6 linked regions of the Sus scrofa genome follow. The protein of the gene in region 6 interacts with the protein of the main gene of each other region in a pairwise test. Links are inferred from orthologs where the notes say so. Each region holds a gene or a part of one and is shown on either strand. Other genes may lie near its edges.

Region 1 (3,495 bases), on a different chromosome or scaffold from region 6:
TTCTTCCTTCCACTTTTCTATATTAATTTCTAAAACGTATGTAAAAGAAAACAAATTGATGACCAAAAACAAACAAAAACCTAAGCCTAGGTGCGCTCTGCACTATTCTACTTCACATTCAGAAGCCGCTTTTCAAAATTTTAGATACCACTATTTTGACTTTCTTCTCTGTACTCTCCCCACCCTCCCAAATTCTGCCCTTCACCCTGGATGTTTTTTTCCTTTATCTGAGCGCTGTCTCCCCACCCTGGGTGGTGGCCTCTGCCTTGCTCTGGTCTGAGGGCGGCTTTTGTTCACCAGAACCTAACTCAGTCAGGACGGAGTCCTGGCCTTGCTCAAGTGCACTTACTGACAGGGTTGAGGGAAAAGAAATAGAAGAAGATGTATTTTTCCACTATGAAATTTATATCCATTTTTGATAAAACTAGACAAATAGAAAATCGCTTAAGCGCCATGGATTGAGGTAAATGTCATCTGATGCCTGACTGTAACCTTGACCTGGCTGATTCTGGTTCACAGAAACACTGGGGGATTCCTACACCTGTCCCACCCCTCCTCAACACACACGAGTTTAGAAGGAGAGGAAAAAGACCTTGACAAGGTAATAAAGGCATTGCTAAATCCTTAAAAAGGACCGGTGGGTGCCGGCTCAGACCAGATGAGGACGGCCTGGCCAGTAAGTCTCAAATCCAGAGAGGAAGCTGCATGTGTGAGAAAGGTGACATTCGTGCTGCGGAGGGTCTCCTAGGACGCACGTAAGGAGGGAGGACTCAGTCACAGTGCTGTATTCAAAGCCCCCAGAGCGGGATTCTCACTTGAGAGGCACTCCAGAGACAGGATGGTCAAGATTACTTCAAGCCATTACTGCAAAATTTGGGCACCACTCCACGCCTTCTCTTCTCCATGTTGAAATGCTAAGTGGTTTTATTTATCATGCCGTTTAGTGACTCGGATCAAATATCTATCAGGGGTCCAGTGAAAAGACCTTCGGGGGCGGCCTCCTCCTGCTTTGGGTAGGGCCTCACAGCCGTGGGTCAGATCTGAGGGAGAGCCTGTGGGCTGACACTGCAGGCAACTTCGGGCCGACTTACGACAGACTATCCATGACGACGGGGAGACACTGAAATGGAACCCTAAAGGGATGAGCAAGAACATCCAGCAACTCTTGGGATCTTTGGGAAACATGCAGAGAAGGTGTAAGAAAGCTACGCGGTGGAACGGCTGGGAGTTGAGAGGCCTGGGCTCCGGCCTGGCCACCAACCAGCTGTGAGACCTTGAGAAAGTCATTTAGTGTTTCTGGGCCTCAGGCTTTTTTACCTGTAAAATAAAAGGACTGGATAAAAAGAGGGGACGGGACTAGATGATCTCTAATGTTCCTTCTTTCTCGGAGTCCTTGACATTCTTTTCACTTCCGTGAGGTAGTTCTATCATCCTGTGCTCGAGTTCCTTATCTGAAACATCTCTCTGCTTCCATCCTCAGACAGGAAGAGGCAAATGTATTATTACTTCAAGGGGTGGGGTTTTCCAATTAACAGTACCGTTTACAAGCCCACTGTGTCAGATGGCAGCCCAGGCTGTGCAAATGCCCTGGGGTCAACGGGGCTGGCAGGGGAGGAACCTGGGAAAATACAACTAGACCAGCAAGGTATCCCTCCAGCCTGGAAGGCACAAGTTCATCATTAGCAGCAGCCTTTCATGCAATGACTGGGAGTGGGTGATAAGATCAAGGCTAAGAGTGGTCCTGATAATTCAGAGGAGGGCAGGTTGGGAAGGAACAATAGAGATCATGCATTTCAGTTCTCTCGGTTCAGAAGTGTGGAAACAGCTGAACAAGAAGAGAAGCCCCTTTTCTGTAATTTCTGTAATGCCTGTACAGTAAGAACTTGATAGAAGCAGGTTGCTTTTGCCCTCTGTGGCTCATTTCATTTATTTGCCCATCGATCTGCTGCTTAGCTACTCAGCGACAGAGAAAGCACGGTTATCATTTGCAAGGCTGAGTTTTCTGGCTGGTCTGAAGTTCACTAACAATGCCTGTCTCACACTATGAACTCAGGATAAGTACTGGCAATAACACGTGCCCTCGCAGAGTTCCTACACAGACTAGCGACTCCTTTAATACTTGCTGGATTTAATTTAAAACTTACCACCTCAAGTGGAGAAAAAACACAGTTTTTTCATTCCAGGTTTTTTTTTTTTTTTTTGGAGGGGGGCATCTGGGTTTTGCTGTTACAAGAATCTTCAGGTATTTTGAGGACAGTCAATAAAGACCTTTTGAGACTGAGGGCATAAACTCTTTGTCACATGGCTCACTGATCAGACACCTGGCCATCAGGTGCTCCGGTGGGAGCTGATGCTGAGGCAGGGGACCAGGGTCAGAAGTATTACTTGAGAGTCAAATATTAGGAAGTGAGTATTCAGGGCATGGTGTTACCCCTGCAGCAGAGGTTTCAGTGAAATGCTATATTCGGCTCATCCGGTTACATGGCTAGGAGTGCCACCCATGCTAGCTGGCTTATTCAGTCACTCGAAACACAGGATTCACTGGGTGCCTGTTACATGAAAAGCAATGACACTGCTTCTCAAAGCCTTTTGAGGGGAGGTGGGAGATGACAGAAGGGACACGAATTTCATCATAAAACCGATGATCCCTAATCTAAAGAGAAATATCAGTTCGTGTTAAATTTTTTTTTTTTTTTTTTTTTTTTTTTTTTTGGAGTTCCCATCGTGGCACAGAGGAAACGAATCCGACTAGGAACCATGAGGTTTTGGTTCGATCCCTGGCCTCGCTCAGTGGGTGAAGGATCCGGCGTGGCCATGACCTGTGGTGAAGGTTGCAGACATGGCTCGGATCTGGTGCTGCTGTGGCTGTGGTGTAGGCCGGTGGCTACAGCTCTGATTAGACCCCTAGCCTGGGAACCTTCATATGCCGCGGGTGCGACCCTGAAAGGACAAAAGACCAAAAAAAAAATTTTTAATGTCCCAAGGTTTGGGGAGGCAAATTGGGGTGACACTAAGTTGTCAGGACTTGCTGCTCTCAGGTTTTCAAGGAGATGAAACAGAATGTGAGAAAGCCGTGGCTTTTCATATTCAATGTGAAAAATCCCTCTGAACGCAGGGCATTGAACACCCTGATTGCTGGGGCTGGGTCTCTTATAGAAGCAGTTTGCTCAAGCATCTGCATCTCTGATGTTAAAAACATTTTCAATGCAAATATTTTCACGTGCTGTATTTTCCAGCGGGTGATGAAAATGGAAATGTGTTTTACCTGTTGGGGGTAGAGAAACGCCGTCCAGCCTTTCATCACCGTCAGCTACCTCTGCTGGTTACAAACATAAAACACAAATCTCATTAGTTTCAGGGAGCACATTCATTTTACCGAATACAGTAATACAATTTAAAAACTCCAGTGTACATAATAGTTTTCACCTTTCTTTTCCCTTCTTGGCTTCAGCTGGTTCCCATTACAGGTTTTAGTACCATTATTTAAACGAAATA
Region 2 (4,023 bases), on a different chromosome or scaffold from region 6:
TGCTTTAGCAAATAATTATAATATGTATAATTATCATATATATAATATAAATGTATAAATACATATTTCATATATGTACGGAAGAGGAGATATAACTAACTACAAAGGAGTAGCACGAGAGAGCTCTTCGTGGTGAGAGAATAGTTCTGTATCTTGACTGCAGTGGTGGTTACAGGAATCTATAGACATGATAAAATGACAGAACTACATATACACATTGTACCAGTGTCAATTTCCTGCTTTTGCTATTGTACTATATGGTTATGTAAAACCCAACCACTGGGGAAAACTGGGGGAAGGGTACATGGGACCTCTCTTACTATTTTTGCAACTTCCTATGTGTCAATTTAAAAAAAAAAAAAAAAAACTTAAGCATAGAAATAGTGGTGTGTGTTACTATATATTAAGAGGGAGAAAGAAGAGAGAGAAAGCAAATGTGGCAACAAGTTAACAATTGCTGAATGCTGGTAAGGGGTATCAAGAGATCAACTAGTCTTTCAAGTACTCTGCAGATTTGAGAAATTTCCAAAAAGTTTAGCAAGTTTAAAAAAATTTTTAGGAGTTCCCGTGTGGCTCAGTGGTTAACAAATCTGACTCCGATCCATGAGGATGCAGGTTCAATCCCTGGCCTCGCTCAGTGGGTTAAGGATCAGGCATTTCTGTGAGCTGTAGGGTAGGTCACAGGAGTGGTTCAGATCCTGTGTTGCTATGGCTGTGGTGCAGGCCAGCAGCTACAGCTCTGATTGAACCCCTAGCCTGGGAACCTCCATATGCTGCAGGTGCGGCCCTAAAAAGAAAAAAAAAAAATTTTTTTTTTAGAAAGAATATTACTAAATGAAACTGTGATACAGTTGCCACACAGGTATAGCAAATCTTGGGACTCATGACATGACAGGAGTGTATTACATGCTGTATTTCATTGAAGCATTGCACAACCCTGTGCCATTGGCGGGACTTCTCCGACTGTGTGGGGCTGGTGTAGAGTTTATCTGGGATTACCCAGGAGTGGCTGAGCCAGAGTCCAAGCTCAAATGCAGACCTCTTTCCACCCCACTTTACTACTGCCTCCCTGCAAAGCCACTACCAAGAAATTACCCAGTCCTAAGCACAAATATTACAAGGACATCATACAAATACTACAGGCTTGACACTCACTTTTGGTTGGTCAGATACCGATCCCAGCCACGAATAATATTGCCATACATCTGAGTGTCTTCCAGGTAGCTTCCTTCAAAAGCATAGATCTGTCTCTCTAAGTTTGCCAGTGTTTCCTGAGTGACGAAAAATAAGGAAGTGGTTAATACCTTTTACATGCTTGCATTAAGCCTAACCAAAATGAACTTTTTTTTTTTTTAAGGGCCACACCTGAGGCATTTGGAAGTTCCCAGGCTAGGGGTCGAATCAGAGTTACAGCCGCTGTCCTACGCCACAGCAACTCAGGATTCCAGCCGAAGTCTGCAACCTACACCACAGCTCAGGCAACACCGGATCCTTAACCCACGGAGTGAGGCCAGGGATCCAACCCGCATCCTAATGGTACTAGTCAGATTCGTTTCCGCTGAGCCGCGACAGGAACTCCCAAATTGAAGTCTATATCAGACTTATAAATTCAAGCTCAACTACACCAAACCAGCCTTGCGGAGGGAGGAATGACACGGGCAGGGGCAGGGTGTTTCACACTAAGGCAGTCTATACCTGTCTTGTATCCCTTGAGGACAGAATGGAATAGAGAGAGCCTGTCCCCAGAAAAATGTACAAAAGTTTGTATATACTCAGAGGCTTCGTGGAAACCCAGCTGTCAAGAACCCGGGCGGAGGAAAAAAAAGAGCAGTCTCCACTCCCACGCATAAAAGGTACTGCTACCAGGAGAGGGAAGGGTAAGCAGCCTTCCAGCGCCAACTGGCTCCCCTCCCCGTAGGCTCCGAAAGGCCGCCAGCACTGGGCTGCCGGTTGCTATGGAAACCTGGAAGGGCAGCTTCAGGTGAGATGGGCCTCCCGGTGCCCAAGCCAAAACGCGAGGGGAGGGAGGGCTTAGCCGCCACGGTCCAAGGGACCCGGGCTGCGTGTCACAATTCTTAATTCCCTAACCGAGTCCGCTCCCCTCGCCTGTCACCTCCTAAGATGTTCCCAAACACATCACATCCCTGCCCATCAAAAACCCCATCTAACGGATCTACTCCTAGTCCCCAAAAGGACGAGACCCTCCATCCTCCAAAGACCAGGCAGGATGTGTGAGTGTCCCTCCCACACTCGCCTCCTACCCCACCACCCCACCTAAAGCCCACCAGCAAGCCCGGACCAATCTACAGCCCACCGATCCGCCCGCCCCGCACTCCTTAAAGATCATGGACCCGCTCGCCCTCGCCTACCCCGCAGAGCTCACGGTTACTCGCTTTAGCAGGGCTGCAGCACAGAAGCCCCCACCCCCTGGCGCCATCCTTCCTCCACGCCCCCGCCCGCCTAGTCCCCCTCCCCCTCCCCGGCTCCGCGCCCCGCCCCCAGCCCAGGCTCCCGGCTCCGGATCTGCACCGCCTGGAAGCCGAGGCGCCGGCGGGCCGCGCACTGCGCAGCCGTCCTCAGGCCGCCGGACTCCCGGGCGCCGCGCTGCGCCCACCGAGTAACGAACCGCCCGGCGCGGCGGAGCCGGGGTCTGGAGGCAGGGGCAGGCACGGGGTCCCCACCCGGGCGCCCCCCGGTGCTAGCCCTCACCGCCAGCTCCTGCTTCCGCTTCACGAGCTCTGCCAGCTCCCGCCGGGTGTCCGGGATCTGCGGCGGCGCCGCCTTGTTGTGCATCGCCATGTTGGGCTGAGGCGGGCGGCAGCGGCGCCAGGCTGGGGGCGGTCCTAGCGCGCCGCCGCCCGCCAGGGGGCGCCCGCCTCTGCACTGCGCCTGCGCAGGCGACTTCCGGAGGGGAGCCCCGCCGCGCAGAACTCCCGCGCGCGCGCGCGTGCGCGCGCCCTGCCAAAAGAACCCCACTGATGGGTTCTGCTTTTGGTCCTAACCGCGTTTCTACACCGCAAATTCACCGTGTCCAAAATCAGACTTATCCGCAGTCTCCTCAGTGAATGACTTTCACTGTCCACCGAATTGCCCAGGTCGGAAACCTGGGTACCATCCTCACCCTCCTTCACCCCCTTAATCCAATCCAAAACCAATTCCTGTGGACTCGACCGCAGAAGAGCCCGCAAATTATTTTCTTTTGTCTGCCACCTCCTTCGTTCATCCAGGCCCTCCCTATTTTAGGTACATTATTCCAGGAGCTCCCGTTTCCACTCTTAGCTCCATTTAATCCATTATTCACAGTGGTGCCAGGATGATTTGTTTGGGGAAAACAAATGTGTTACTCCCCTGCTTAAAACCTTTCAAAGACTTCCCGTTGCCCTTTAGAGAGACAAACATGTGTGGTGGTTAATGACACAAACTAACTACCTAGTTCAAAATTCTACCTCTACCATTGATAAGCTGTCCCACCCTGGGCAGGTAACTCAATTTCACTTGGCTCAATTTCCTCCTCTATAAAATGGAAGTAATAATAGCTCCTACCTAATACAATTTCCATAAGGAATTAATCACTTAAGGTAAGTGCTTGGCAAGTAAGCACTACTTAAGTCAAATCATTAAGCCTGATATTGTTAACTTTGTTTTCATCTCCCCCCTGTTTATTTCTCCTCTCCATTTTTCAGGGTTCTGCAATTTCATTAGAAATCCAGGTAGGATTTTTTTTTTCCATTTTGCTTGCTTGCTTGCCTGCTTTCCTTCTTTCTTGCTTTCTTTTTGCTTTGCTTTGAAAGTCTCTGTGTTTCTTCAGTCTGTGTATTTGTACTTTCACCAGTTCTGGGAAATTCAGCTATCTTTCCTAGGATATCCTCTACCTCAGTTTCTCTCTCCTTCTAGAATTCAGATTAAATTTAAGAATCCTTTTTTTTTTCTCTCTCTACTGCATTCTGTTACATGTTGATCTTGTAACCCAGGGTCTCGCTGAACTCTCTTATTGATTCTAGGTTTTTTGGTAGATTCTGTGGG
Region 3 (2,412 bases), about 15 Mb from region 6:
TCCCTGCATTTGGCAGATGGTTGACTAGATATTTCCCCTAAGGCTTCTTCCAACCCTAAGATACTATTCTGTAGTTCTCTGGCCTGACTGTAGAGTCAGAGCAAGCATGGGTTTCCAAGACAGCATCTTCCTAACTCTGGTGCCCCCTCCAGCCTCTAGCAGCTATGATGGAAGAGGAGCCAGAGTCTGCCAGACCAGAGGAAGGCAAACCCCAGGATGGTGAGTGACACCTGCCTCCATCCAGAGATGGAGGAGTGTTGAGGCTCAGCTGTGCCACAAGGGATTGGGGGCGGGGGGCGGGCAAAGGGCATCTCAGGTTTGAGAAAAGAGTCCCTGGAATAGAAGGATAAGAGATTGAGGGCTACCTCCAGGAGCCAGAGACAATTTGTTGGTGTTTCCCATTCCAGGAAACCCTGAAGGAGATAAGAAAGCTGAAAAGAAGACACCTGATGACAAAGTGAGAATCTGAGAATCTTTCTCCCTATGTGGACCCCAGTCCTCTCCCCAACCCAGGTCTGACACCACTCATGGCCTTAGCAGAAGCTCACATTTATTCCATGGGTTCCCAATCACCCTTAACCTGCCTTCTCCACCACCTCACACACGCAAACCAATAAATTCCTCTTAGTTCAGGGACATGGAGGAGAGTTGGAATGTAGTGTGTCTAGCAAATGCCCTTGTCTTGGCCTCCTGCCCCTCAGTGTGGGACAGAGGAGCTCTGAGACTCATCACCCCCTTTCACCCCCAGCACAAGCAGCCTGGCTTCCAGCAGTCTCATTACTTTGTGGCTCTCTATCGGTTCAAAGCCCTGGAGAAGGACGATCTGGATTTCCCGTGAGAGGCCTTAGGATCGGGGTGGGGTGTACTGGGAGTGGAGAGGGGAGAGCCCAGCTCCCTATGGGAAAGGAAAAGGGGGGATTCAGGGTTTGGAGCCTATTTGGGGCTGGACCTGGGCACAGCCAAGGGACTAGATGTATAAGGCCCCTAAATCTCAGAGGCTTCTTCCTTCCTCTCCCAGGCCTGGAGAGAAGATCACCGTCATTGATGACTCCAATGAGGAGTGGTGGCGGGTAAGAGAAGTGGCTGAGTCTCAGGTGGGACATGGGTTAAGTTAGGACTTGAGATTGTGAGATTGATTCTGCTTACCATGTCCTCTAGGGGAAGATAGGGGAGAAGGTTGGATTTTTCCCTCCAAATTTCATCATTCGGGTCCGGTCTGGAGAGCGAGTGCACCGTGTAACAAGATCCTTCGTGGGGAACCGCGAGATAGGGCAGATCACTCTCAAGAAGGACCAGGTAGCTCTGGTGCCCCAACTCAACCCCAGGCGCAGAGGCTTCTCTGCAAACCATCTTCTTTGCAGATCTTCACCCATTAATGGGACTAGATCGGGCCTCCAAAACTCAGAACTCCCCCCTCAGCTCTTCTGTTTTCTCTTGATTCCTCCCTTCTCATCCTTTCATCCTTTAGATTGTGGTGCAGAAAGGAGATGAAGCCGGCGGCTACGTCAAGGTCTACACCGGCCGCAAGATGGGGCTGTTCCCCACCGACTTTCTAGAGGAGATTTAGGCTTGCAGACGCCTGCTGGCGGGAGATACCCAAACCCCACTATGGGCAGGCCCAGTGGAGGTTGGGAAGAGAAGGGGCGAAAGCAACTTTACCGCTGGGTGGGGGAGAGGTGGGAAGGCCCGCCGGAACGTGACGGGGCTTCTGGGAAGGGACTGGTTCCCGCCCCCCTCCCCCTCGGAGGGCGTCGCAGACTTGGTGCCTGGAGCAGCCTCACCCGCAACCCCTCAAGCCCAGCCTTTGAGAGCTGGAAAAAGAAGGCATCTCCACTCGGAGGCGTCCCGAGGAGAGGGGGGTTGAGGCGAAGTGTCCAATGTTGCGAATTTATTAAAGTTTTGACAGAAGTTAGAAAAGTTTGCTGTTTAACTGGGAGCCGAGGGGAGAAAGGAGAGGGCCCACAAAGGGGCGGAGAATCTTCTCCAGCCGTCTCAGCTAATTACCATTGGGTAATTAGACCCGCCTGGGCTGAGGCTGGTGCGAGGTGGGGAGACGGGTGCGTCCGCCAGGCAAGGCCTCGGTCAGTGAAGAAAACGGTGCCGGACTGGTGTCACTGCTTCTGAGCCGCGAGGAGCAGGATCCTGTAGCAAGGTAGGTGCCCCCCTACTCTTAACGAGCGATTTAAGCCTCTGGCAGCCCCTTTCATTTCCGAACCTGGCGCAGTTCCGAGCTGGGCCGCCAGGGGGCGATACAAGATCTCGGTTGGAGTGCGAGGGACGGGAGGGGCGGGGGGAGAAGCGAGAACTGGAGACACCAAGCCAGAGACCCTGGGCCTGGGAGGGGGTGGGGTGCGTGCCGTCTCCATGGCAACACTTCCTCTTGTCCTCCGGGAACTGAGCGAGCGAGGCCGG
Region 4 (3,316 bases), on a different chromosome or scaffold from region 6:
AGTGCTTCCAAGAGTTACCAAAAGCAAGTTACCAAAAGCAAGTCTGAAGTGCAGGGACTAAAGTCCCGCCCTGCACCCCAAATAGGGACAGCACCTCCTAGCCTAACAGCATTTCCTGGTAGGCAGGTTCCAGTGCTAGGTAATGACAGTTCTAAACCCAGCTGCACCAGATCTCATCAGCTCCTTGGCAGTTTTACCATCTTGGGTTCCTATTAAAATTCTTCCGTTATTAATTAACTTTGCTGTGCTATCCATGGTGGACCAGAAAGGATATAGATTAGGAAAATTTCATGAAATGAATAGCAACTTTGAGGCTAATGAACAAATAGTTAAGTATTTCAAATTAAGCTGCCTAATACCAAGACTGAATTTATGGAGGGAGCCAAAGTAGAAAGAAAGAAAGACTTTTTGGAAGATGGAACCATCTCTCTCTCTACCTGAAACTGGTTTCAGGAATTAGTTTGTAGAAATAAATCAACTTGCAGATTTTAAGCACACAGTTAATTTCAAAGAAAAATCTTTTATTGGCATAAAAATGAGAATGTTGTAAATAAACTGGCACCAGGTATTTCATTTAAATGCGTGTTACAGAACTGGGGTCAAAAAACTACCCCTCTTTGCTGTTTTTCCCCCTTCTGCCCACTTTCCTGGGTGTTGGGGGGGCTCGCTGACAACAGTCACAAATCCAGCGACCTAGGAAGAAAATTGTTAGTTAATACAGAATGAATTTCACTTTTTAGGACTAACTTTTAAACCCATTTAGCTCCTTCCTTTAGCCTTGGCTGCTGACAGTAATCCTCAGGGGACGTGTGGTGGGACAGGCACTAATGAGCTCGTTAATTTAAGGAGAAAAATGTCAACTCCCTCTGAGATAATCCATGTCTTCAGGCCCCGGGAAGTGCACGGGGTAGGGGCGGGGGGCCATGGGAGGAAGGAAGGAATGACAGGGGCCTTTAAAAACTTACTATAACCCTTTCTGAAACTTAAACGCTATCATACGCTAAAAAGTTTGATCATACAAACCCTAACATCAACCCTGACCCTGAGTTTGGCTTATTTTCAAGCCTCTGCTGCTGCTCAGTGGCAGCTGTGTGTCTGCAGCCTCCTGGCAAGTCCTGGTGTACGATGCTGACACAGCACTTTAAATGTGGTCACGGTGCTGTAATGCAGCGGGCAACACCCTCCATCAGAACTGCTACAGGACTCTGAATAGTTCCTAAGCTGTTTGCATCTCAGTGACTCCCAGGAAACCTAGTTCTAGGCATACATTTTATAAAGTATTAGGCAGTGTAAACTATGCAAATAAGTTCTAAAATTACACAATTGTGTGTGTAATGTTCAGTCCAATTACTGTGGTTTATTCTTTGATTCTGTGTTCATTCTGAAGTTAGGCTGCCTCAATCTATAGAAATCTGGTTGAATATGTTTAAAGGTATAGTCATTTTTGTTAAGTCTCTAAGTGACATGTAAAAATAAAATCAAGGCTTTGAAACAAACGGATGGTACTGCTTCAGCTCTTTCGGTAGAAAAATGCTGTTCATTCTGTATACTGAGCTCTACTTCCAGAACATGTAGGCAGCCTGGTAGCTCACTGGATCTGCAGTCAGCCTGTCTAGGAGTGAGAAGCAGGGGACATGATGACAGCTTTGGTCCCATGTGAACAGAAGGGTCTTGACGGTGCTTATGCTGTGGCCTCAAAAAGAAAAAGAAAAAGAAAGCGCCAGGCGAGCCCCTTCGCTCAAGGCCCACGTCCCGTCTCCTCTTTACCTGACGGCGGAGCGCCCAGGCCCACACAGAAGGTGTGGTGGCCTCTGTCACACACGTCACAGCACATCATCTCTTCCTCGTGGTGCGGCTGCCCACACACGGCGCAAGTTTTGCACTCCATGCACTGCCACGGGTAGGTCTTAATCACAGAAACAAGCTCCACGCTCATGTCCAGGCAAGAAGGGTGGCCTAAACCAAAACCAGGGTTAGTCGGGTCTCACACGCCAAGCTCCAGCTTCACTGGGCAGGACAAGATGCGCGTCTGCTTGGGTGTCTCAAGAACGGCTCCCGTGTTTAGTTGCCAAAGAGACAGGGAGCCCTCATCACCGTGCAGAAGGTGGTACGTGGCTCTCTTTATGCACGGGATGACTCTGGTGCAAGGCTAGCTGACAGCTAAGAATCTAGATTCTGAAACATCCCACCGGCGGTTAGGAGGCGAGGCCGCGTCAGTACTTACCACTGCTGTCACACTGGGAGCAGTGCACAAGGGGCTCAGCCTTCCCTCTCTTGTTGGACTCCTTACCCCTCAGACAAATTCCACATAGAGCATTTGGAATGGCCTTTGGCTGGAAGGGTAGAAGAGGGCTATAAATTCACGCCAGAAGAACTTACTGTGGGTTCAACAGGAATTATTACAGCGTTGGCTCGTCCCTACTTCTGGTAACTTGCCAGGGAGGCCCTCTTGGAAAGACAGAACCTGACATGAATCAGCTTATGGCCTACTGACTACAGCCTTAGGTTTACTTCCTTTTTAAATGTTGTCTGTGGTATGATCTCAGCACTAAATTTAACATCCTGCACTCCCTGGGCGCCCAGTAAGACCTGTGTAATGAGCTGGAAGGAAAGACCAACACGATGCAAAGTGCACGACGAACTGAAGGGCAAGTCCAAGTCCGAGGGAGCAGCAGGTCAAGGCAGTCAGGCTTGTTCCCAAAGACTGTTCTAAGCAGCTTATATGCCGACTTTGTTTAAAAACGGATGTTCCCCAGAGTTGTAAGACTAGATCTACAGAGTCCAAGTTCGAAAATCAACGTTTTAACGTTTTTAATTGAAGGCTGTCTCATGCGTACACTGTCATGTGCAGAAATGTTTATGGAAAACCGAGTTGTGTGGTTATTCCCTTGGCACATCTGACACCTTCGTACAAGTGCCTACACTTAGGGAAAAAGCATTCGCTACGACATACAAGACGGAAAAGAGAAACGCGGTTTTCAGATAAGCAGAATAATAAAATTCTCACTTAAAAAACAGGCAGACACCCCTATATTTTAAGCACTGTTCATTTTTCAGATTAAAAACATGCACAATCCAATGAAGGCATTTGGACTTTAAGAAACACTTGGAAACACACGGAAAAGAACACAGAAGAGGTTCCCTGAACCGAAAACTCGGGGGGGGGGGGGATATTCGAACATCGGCCTTGACCGTCAGAGCATCTTCACGCAGCCACGTGGGTGTGGAACAGCGGAGGAAAGGGGAGCAAGCAGGGCCGCATACGAAAGGGGGGCCAGGGCCAGCCTCGTTCGTGTAGAAAGACTGGGAGAAAAAG
Region 5 (3,500 bases), on a different chromosome or scaffold from region 6:
CAGATGCAATTCTATAGGACCCCCAAAGTGGAAACCCCCAAGACAAAGAGTAGGGGAAGGACATTTTAGAATAATTGACTTAATTATAAATGTAATTAAACATATTTGCAAGCGCATTTCCATTTAATAACATGGATTCTACTAGCTGTGAGTTCACAACAGTTGATGGGGGGATGTACTCTTTAGCTGTGATGTTGGAAATAAAAACATTTAAGAAGAGTTGGGTCAATGTGAAGTCAGGCCCTAAGCTAGCTTCTCTGTCAGCAACTCCTAGAGAATCTGCATTAAGTCTGGGAGAGACGCTTGCTCTAGTCGTGCGCAGGTTTCACAGCTTCCTAAGCTCGGAGAGGGAGCTGTGACTGCCTGCAGCCTGGGGCCTCCAAGGGCTCACCCGTGGGACATGCTGAGCACAGGTCTGGCCCGGGGAGGCCCGCCACCCCAGCAAGCCGCCAGCCCCGGGCACTCACCCACCACCCTGGTGTTGTAGTAGTCGGGCAGCATGCGCTCACAGAGAGCCACCAGCAGCCAGAAGGCCTCCTCCTCGCTGCCATAGAGCAGGAGCACTGAGGTGACGATGTTCATGGCCTGTGGGCACAGAGACGGTGAGGGGTGCTCCCCGAGCCGTCCTCTCCCAAGAGGCCTGCTCGGCCTCGCTCTACAAGCAAGCCTGGCAACAACAAATCAGCCCGCCCCACTCCAGGCAATCTGCTAAAAAGCAATTTGCAGGAAATTTGATTTGGCAAAAACAGTCAGCCAAGTTCCTCAAACTGGACCAGAGGGCATCTGGACACTCAAGAAGGCAAGGCCCTTCTTCAGGGTGTCTGGGGTCGCGGGTGCAGAACAGGGCCAAGAGGCTGTGAGTGAGCTGTGTGTGCCAGCCACACAGCTTCAGGGTGGCCATGGCAAAGCAGAGCTTGCAGGAAAAAGCTTCCATGGTGGCAAATTATCCTAAAAATGATTTAGAGCCAGTACACTGGTTTTCCATGCTCTGGTAATATGTCCTACGGAAGGTGGTTTCTCTGAAATCCAGTCTGAAACAGTCAAAGGGAAAGAGAAAGCCATATGACCTGGCCAAGAAAATGCCCATTAGACTTAAAATCAAATGCCTCCAGAAACACAAATCAAGACTGCAATATCACCTCACACCACTATGATGGCTATTATCAAAAAAATGAGAAAATAGGAGTTACCGTCGTGGCTCAGTGGTTAACGAATCCGACTAGGAACCATGAGGTTGCGGGTTTGATCCCTGGCCTCGCTTATTGGGTTAAGGATCCAGTGTTGCTGTGAGCTGTGGTGTAGGCTACAGACGTGGCTGGGATCTGGTGTTGCTGTGGCTCTGGTATAGCTGAAGAGCTACAGCTCCAATTGGACCCCTAGCCTGGGAACCTCCATGTACCATGGGCGCAGCCCTAAAAAGACAAAAAGAAGAAAAAAAAAAAAAAAAGAGAGAGAAAACAATTGATGTGGGCGAGGGTGGGGAGAAACTAGAACCGCTGTGTGCACTCTGGGTGGGAATGTAAAACGGTGCAGCTCCTGTGGAAAATGCTATGACCATTCCTCAAAGAATTAAATATCCCATCACTATATGATCCAGCAATTCTACTTCTGGGTATAGGCCCCAAAGATCTGAAAGCAGGGCGTGGAGCAGATGCTGCACATGCATGCTCATAGCAGCATTACTCACAAGAGCCAAAAGGCGGAAGCAACCCAAGCAGCCACTGTTGATGAACTGATACACAAAGCATGGAGTATACATACAACGGAATCCTTAAGAAGGAAGGACATTCGGACACATGCTACACCATGGATGAACCTTGAGGTCATTTTGCCAATGAAATAAGCCAGTCACAAAAAGTCAAATGCTGTATGATGCTAATATCACAGAGGCAGAAAAGATAATGGTGGTTGCCAGGGGGAACTACGGGAGCTGGTTCATGGGTACAGTTTCTGTTCTGCAAGCTGAGTTCTAGAGATGGATGGTGGTGATGGTTGTACAACGATCTACTTAATGCTGCTGATCTATACACATAAAAGGATTAAGATGGTAAGTTTTGCTACGTGTATTTTTCTTTTTTTTTTTTGTCTTTTTGCCTTTTCTAGGGCCACTCCTGCGGCATATGAAGGTTCCTAGGCTAGGGGTCTAATTGGAGTTGTAGCTGCTGGCCTATGCCACAGCCACAGCAACGCCAGATACGAGCCATGTCAGTGACCTACACCACAGTTCACGGCAACACCGGATCCTTAACCCACTGAGCCAGGCCAGGGATCGAACCCGCAACCTCGTGGTTCCTAGTCGGATTCGTTAACCACTGAGCCACGATGGGAACTCCCTGTTATGTGTATTTTAACACACACATAAAACAAGCAGATGCCTTCGGGGCCCAGACCAAAAGCACATAGAAGACAACTTGATATATGGCATGGGGGTGAGGTGAGCAATGAACACTGCTCTTCATTTCATCTTTTTCTGTGGTCAGGACTGTCCTTGGGGAAGAGGGCACAACCAAAGGTGTGTGAGGTCATCACTCAGGCCCAGGGCCGTGGCAAGCTGCTCCTGTGAGCCTCTGATGGGAGGGGCTGCCTCTGGCCCCTGCCGAGCCCCTGTACCTGGCAGTAGCCGATGGTGGGGTTTCGGAAAGCGTAGGCGGTCAGCACCCGGCGGAGTGCAGCGATCCCCAGCTCGTTCTGGAAGGCGGGGTGCTCAGGCATGGAGCGGTGGAGGTCTCGCTCGATCTCCTCTGTGGCCAGGCTGTACTTCCCAGTGGACTTCTCCACCAGCTCAGCGTAGTAGCCAGGATGAGTCACCATCTCATTCCAGGCCCCTGTGCAGACACAGCTGGAAGCTGCCGCCCTCCCCATCCCCTTCCAGGACTTTGAGGACAACGACAGGGCAGGGTGGAGACATTGTCATGGCAACGAAGAAGGGAAGTGGCACTTTGGGGCCAGTTACAAGGTGCCAGGCAAAGCTTCCCCCATCACTGTCTTGGGAGGAGACACCCCACCCAAGTCTGAATGGCTGGCTTGCCCTTCTCCTCAAATCATCCGAGTGGCCAAGGGTAGGAATGTTGTTGGAGTCTGTCCCAAGGAAAAGAGGCCTCTGGGGGCCTGTCTGCCTCCCACTGCGGGGGGAGAGCACCATCCCTTGGCATCTGTTCCCTGCAACGCCCTTGCTGGCATGGGCCCACACTAGCCCCATCGCAGCTGAGAGCCCCATCTCTGCCCTGTACAGGCTGCCAGGGCCTGCCTGGCGACTCAAGAGGCCCAACTGGGGTCAGCCGAGTTCCCACATGGAGGCTGGGGCAGCTCACCAGAGAAGAGGAGCCACAGCTCCCCCCGCAGGCTCTCGGGGATGCCCTTCAGCACCAGCTCCCGCGTTCTGGCCGTGCGGTACATGCACATGCCGCGCCCGAACTCAAAGAAGTGGATGTTCCACGACTCCTCCTTCATCTTCTCCTTGGCCTGGGGGAACAGCACACAGGCACCCGTGGGTAAGTCCC
Region 6 (3,500 bases):
TGATTGGCAGGAAGGAAAAGGAAGAGCAAAGTCAAGAGCCGCTTAGGGCCGTGAGAGCCCAGACCTGTGGCCACGGGCGGCTGGAGCTGGTAGCCGGTGAGCTCACACCAGCCGACGGGGTAGATGTCCGGGGACTCGCAGTCCACCCACTGGTCGTACTCGCTGTCCCAGCCGTCGAAGTGGATGCTGAGGAGCCGATGCACCACCCGCTTCACGGTGGCCACACAGATGAGCCGGGGCTCCATCAGGTCCACGGCCTCCAGCTTCATGCCCACCTTGAAGCCGTGGTTGGGGCAGTCCTGGGGGAGGGAGCAGGGCAGGTTCCTCTGACCAGCGATCCCACCGCACTCTGTGCCCACACCACCCCCTGGGAAAGGGACCGGCTGAACTGCTCGGCTCGGGGCTGGCGTCGGAGTTTGCGGCCGGTCTCAGCAGCACAGACTCAAGGAAAGGAGTGGGAACAGGTAGGGCCGTCCCAAGGCCACCCCGGGCCCCTGCCTCCTGGTCCCCTCACCATGTTGAAGAGTCTCGATGGCGCCGCTTTCGCCTTGGTCGTCTCCAAGTAGGTCTCCCAGCTGAAAGTGTGAGCCTCGTACCCTGGAGCAGTGGAAAGTCCGGCTGAGGGCCGAAGGGGAGCCGGAGAGAGTTCCGCCAAGCCCCCCATGGCCAAGGGCGCCCACAGCTCGGTCAGGATCCAGCCCGGAGTCTCTGCAGGAGCCTTCTCCCTCCTCCCCTGGCTGGTACCTGCTAGGACCTGGTTCTGTCCTACAGGTGGTTGACTGCTCACCGAGCCACGTACCAGCCATGGGGCGAGCCAGCCCAGACCAAGGGCTGGTGGTGACCTCGGGTAGCTCTGTCACCTCTCCAGTCCTCAGGCAGCTCAAGCTCCAAGGTCTAGCAGGGTCTAGCAAGGCCAGGAATCAGGGCCTCCCCCTGCCCCTTCCGGCTCGTCTTACCTTTCGGGGGTGTAAGCTCGATGTCGTTCTTCTGGCAGAAGGTGGCTGGGAAGATGGCGTGGGAAGAGGCGTGGTAGCAGAACCAGTCCGAGCCGTCTGTGGAGGGCCCCCCGTCCACACAGATCATCAGGTAGCCGTCCAGGAGCACCTAGTGGGCGGTGGGGAGGGGGCGGGGCAGACAGAACACGGCCTCCTGAGCTGCACCCCCGGCCCAGGGCAATGGGGCCACGAGGCGGGTGGATCCACCTGGAGCCAGTTCTCAGCCGTCCCTGAGCCACTTCAGAGCACTGAGCACTCGTGCAGCCCGTAATCGTGGGATCTCTGGGCTTCCTCACTAGACAGCAAATGCTGTGCCAGCAGGAACGCCATCTGCCCTTTGGTCACTGGGTTCTCGGGGTGAGCACATGGGCCCAGCCTGGAGACGTGCTGGATGGACAATCGGCATGTCCCCCAGTTTGCTCCCCAGGCAGCGGTGGCAAGGTCTGCAGCAAAGCCAGCCAGCTGCGGCTTTTGGCCAGGCCAGCACTCAAAAGAGATGGCAGGTCTTGGCAGGAAGGCCCCCAGCGAGGGGACAGAGCCAGGCTCAGGCCAGGGCTTCAATCAGCACCTGTCCAGCCTGGCTCTGACCGCAACTTGAGAGCAGATGCTGAGTGAGGAGCTAAGGCTCCACTCAGAAAAAGCAGGTGCCAAAGAGCAGCCAGTACCAGGAAGACGGGATGGACACTGCGTGCCGAGTTCTGCCACCCCCGTGCCCGCAGGAAGCCAGGCGGGAGGCGGGGGCCTGCCCCAAGCTCACCTTGCAGATGGTTGCCACACAGATGTTGCCCAAATTCAGGGGGTCAATGGCCTCTAGCTTCATCCCCTCCTCAAACCAACCGCCTTCCGTGTAGACGGCTCGAACCTAAAAGGAACGGGGCAGCTGGGGAAACTCCGGGCTGGCCCAGGCGATGGGGGGAAGCAGGCCATGGTGTGCCATCGGCCTGGAAGGAAGCGAGGGGGCAGGAACATGCCAGGGAGGAGGCTGCAGGCCCGGGGTGGACGTGCAGCCAAGGGGAACGCGCCTGAGGGCTGGGCCTCACCTTCTTGAACAGGTAAGGAACAGCGTCACAGTAGATCTTCCGGAAGGTGGGGTGGTGGGCCATGTCGCTGCGCCTCTCTTTTAGGGAGACGACAGATGGGGAAGAGAGAAGTGAAGCTGCTACCAGGGCCACCTCCACGCCTCCCCCAGAAGTGTGGGGCCGCCTTGCCCAGGCTCTAATCCGTATCTTCGCGCCACCCCAGCACTAGGAGGCGGAAGGCCCAGGGCCTCTCTCTGGAGGGGGATTCAGCCCTTAAGACCCGGACTCTTCTCTTCCCACTTGACGTGGGAGAGGATGGGGCCTGTAGCCTCTGGTTTCAATCAGTTTTTATGCTTCAAGCCAAGTGGCCTTGGTCAAGTCCCTCGACCTCTTGGGACCCCTGGTCAAGCACGGCCACCCGCAAGGCACACAGTCACCCCACCGCTCAGCCAGACCCACGTTACCTGACAGCTTGATGCCGTGCCCGACACGCCGTGACCAACCCACAGGGTGGATCAGGGGGCTCCACATGTGGCACCAGAAGTCATCGTCGCTGTCGCCATCCTCGTAGAGGAGCCGTAGGCGACCCCCGATGACCGTGTCCACCACAGCCATGCGGGTCCGCGACACCTGGGACTTGTCCACCACCTCGAGCCGCATGCCCTGCCGGAAGGGGTACTTCATGCTCTCCACCATCTGCAACGACAGCACCAGCCTGCCGTGGCCACGCGGCCTCTCCCTGCTCCGTCTCTTCAAAGAAGCCAGAGGACGGGGCGGGTGCGGCGGAGGCGCCCCAAAGCCCAGGTCAGGAGGCAGGCAGGTGAGCCCTCCTGTCCCCAGGTTCAGCCCTGGCTCCAAGTCCCTAGGGTGACACTGATGACGTGATGGTCACGACGTGTGCGGGTAAGTCACGGTGACGGGACTTACAGTCACTTTCCAGACAAAGGAAACAGGGACCCAGGGAGGCGGGACTTCCTCAGAGTCGCACAGGCTCGCGGGTAGCAGAGCTGGGCTCCAAGGGCTCCAGCCTCGTGCTCTTTCGGGGACCTGCGCTCTGGTCACACGGGTACCCCACGTCCCCTCTACCTTCCGGCCCCCAGCTGATGGCGCACAGGCCTCGGGGTTAGAGAACCGAGCGCCCTTTGCCTCCGTACATCTAATTTCAGCTCCGGCCCGCTGAGCAGTGGCTCTGAACAGCTTCCACAGTGCCTCAGTCAGGATGCCACGTCTCTGACACTGCAAAAGACAGATGCCCACGAGCTGCTGCCCTGGGGGGACCCCTGGGGAGGAGCTGGAGATTCTGGAGGCTTTGGTGCTGTCCTGCCGGGGGTAGGGGATGGGTGACTAAGCTTTGTGGGGCTTTTCCAGCACCAGGGCGCTGCAGGCTCAGGTGTGGGGACTGAGCCGTGCTTTTCCAAATCCCCCCAGAAGGTCACAAAGCAGCCACCAGGACAGGGATCCTTCAGCCCTCAGCTCAAGGGCGGGA

What was found.
Region 1: the proteins of L3MBTL2 (region 6) and BEND7 interact in binary tests that used the Homo sapiens proteins (3 or more experiments, as listed by UniProt). The two-hybrid records come from large-scale screens. The link is inferred for Sus scrofa from reciprocal best matches to the Homo sapiens genes L3MBTL2 and BEND7.
Region 2: the proteins of L3MBTL2 (region 6) and MEAF6 interact in binary tests that used the Homo sapiens proteins (3 or more experiments, as listed by UniProt). The two-hybrid records come from large-scale screens. The link is inferred for Sus scrofa from reciprocal best matches to the Homo sapiens genes L3MBTL2 and MEAF6.
Region 3: the proteins of L3MBTL2 (region 6) and STAC3 interact in binary tests that used the Homo sapiens proteins (3 or more experiments, as listed by UniProt). The two-hybrid records come from large-scale screens. The link is inferred for Sus scrofa from reciprocal best matches to the Homo sapiens genes L3MBTL2 and STAC3.
Region 4: the proteins of L3MBTL2 (region 6) and PHF10 interact in binary tests that used the Homo sapiens proteins (3 or more experiments, as listed by UniProt). The two-hybrid records come from large-scale screens. The link is inferred for Sus scrofa from reciprocal best matches to the Homo sapiens genes L3MBTL2 and PHF10.
Region 5: the proteins of L3MBTL2 (region 6) and TBC1D9B interact in binary tests that used the Homo sapiens proteins (3 or more experiments, as listed by UniProt). The two-hybrid records come from large-scale screens. The link is inferred for Sus scrofa from reciprocal best matches to the Homo sapiens genes L3MBTL2 and TBC1D9B.

What each region holds. Positions count from the first base shown.
Region 1 is NC_010452.4:48,257,594-48,261,088, reverse strand, and holds part of BEND7 (BEN domain-containing protein 7), read right to left. Parts: intron 3,320-3,495; coding exon 3,168-3,319; 3' UTR 1,318-3,167; coding exon of another isoform or gene 1,304-1,317; 3' UTR 1-1,303.
Region 2 is NC_010448.4:93,586,183-93,590,205, forward strand, and holds the start of MEAF6 (chromatin modification-related protein MEAF6), read right to left. Parts: upstream 2,801-4,023; 5' UTR 2,800-2,800; coding exon 2,710-2,799; intron 1,463-2,709; exon of another isoform or gene 1,375-1,462; coding exon of another isoform or gene 1,366-1,374; intron 1,272-1,365; coding exon 1,156-1,271; intron 1-1,155.
Region 3 is NC_010447.5:22,548,508-22,550,919, reverse strand, and holds the end of STAC3 (SH3 and cysteine-rich domain-containing protein 3), read left to right. Parts: intron 1-152; coding exon 153-219; intron 220-407; coding exon 408-457; intron 458-748; coding exon 749-834; intron 835-1,018; coding exon 1,019-1,070; intron 1,071-1,158; coding exon 1,159-1,296; intron 1,297-1,468; coding exon 1,469-1,567; 3' UTR 1,568-1,912; downstream 1,913-2,412. UniProt on the Homo sapiens protein: Required for normal excitation-contraction coupling in skeletal muscle and for normal muscle contraction in response to membrane depolarization. Required for normal Ca(2+) release from the sarcplasmic reticulum, which ultimately leads to muscle contraction.
Region 4 is NC_010443.5:573,898-577,213, reverse strand, and holds the end of PHF10 (PHD finger protein 10), read right to left. Parts: intron 2,334-3,316; coding exon 2,225-2,333; intron 1,957-2,224; coding exon 1,768-1,956; intron 1,497-1,767; exon of another isoform or gene 694-1,496; coding exon 608-693; 3' UTR 501-607; downstream 1-500. UniProt on the Homo sapiens protein: Involved in transcription activity regulation by chromatin remodeling. Belongs to the neural progenitors-specific chromatin remodeling complex (npBAF complex) and is required for the proliferation of neural progenitors.
Region 5 is NC_010444.4:78,710,367-78,713,866, reverse strand, and holds part of TBC1D9B (TBC1 domain family member 9B), read right to left. Parts: intron 3,463-3,500; coding exon 3,312-3,462; intron 2,826-3,311; coding exon 2,611-2,825; intron 586-2,610; coding exon 468-585; intron 1-467. UniProt on the Homo sapiens protein: May act as a GTPase-activating protein for Rab family protein(s).
Region 6 is NC_010447.5:7,260,634-7,264,133, forward strand, and holds part of L3MBTL2 (lethal(3)malignant brain tumor-like protein 2), read right to left. Parts: intron 2,711-3,500; coding exon 2,479-2,710; intron 2,113-2,478; coding exon 2,036-2,112; intron 1,858-2,035; coding exon 1,753-1,857; intron 1,105-1,752; coding exon 957-1,104; intron 598-956; coding exon 515-597; intron 300-514; coding exon 65-299; intron 1-64. UniProt on the Homo sapiens protein: Putative Polycomb group (PcG) protein. PcG proteins maintain the transcriptionally repressive state of genes, probably via a modification of chromatin, rendering it heritably changed in its expressibility.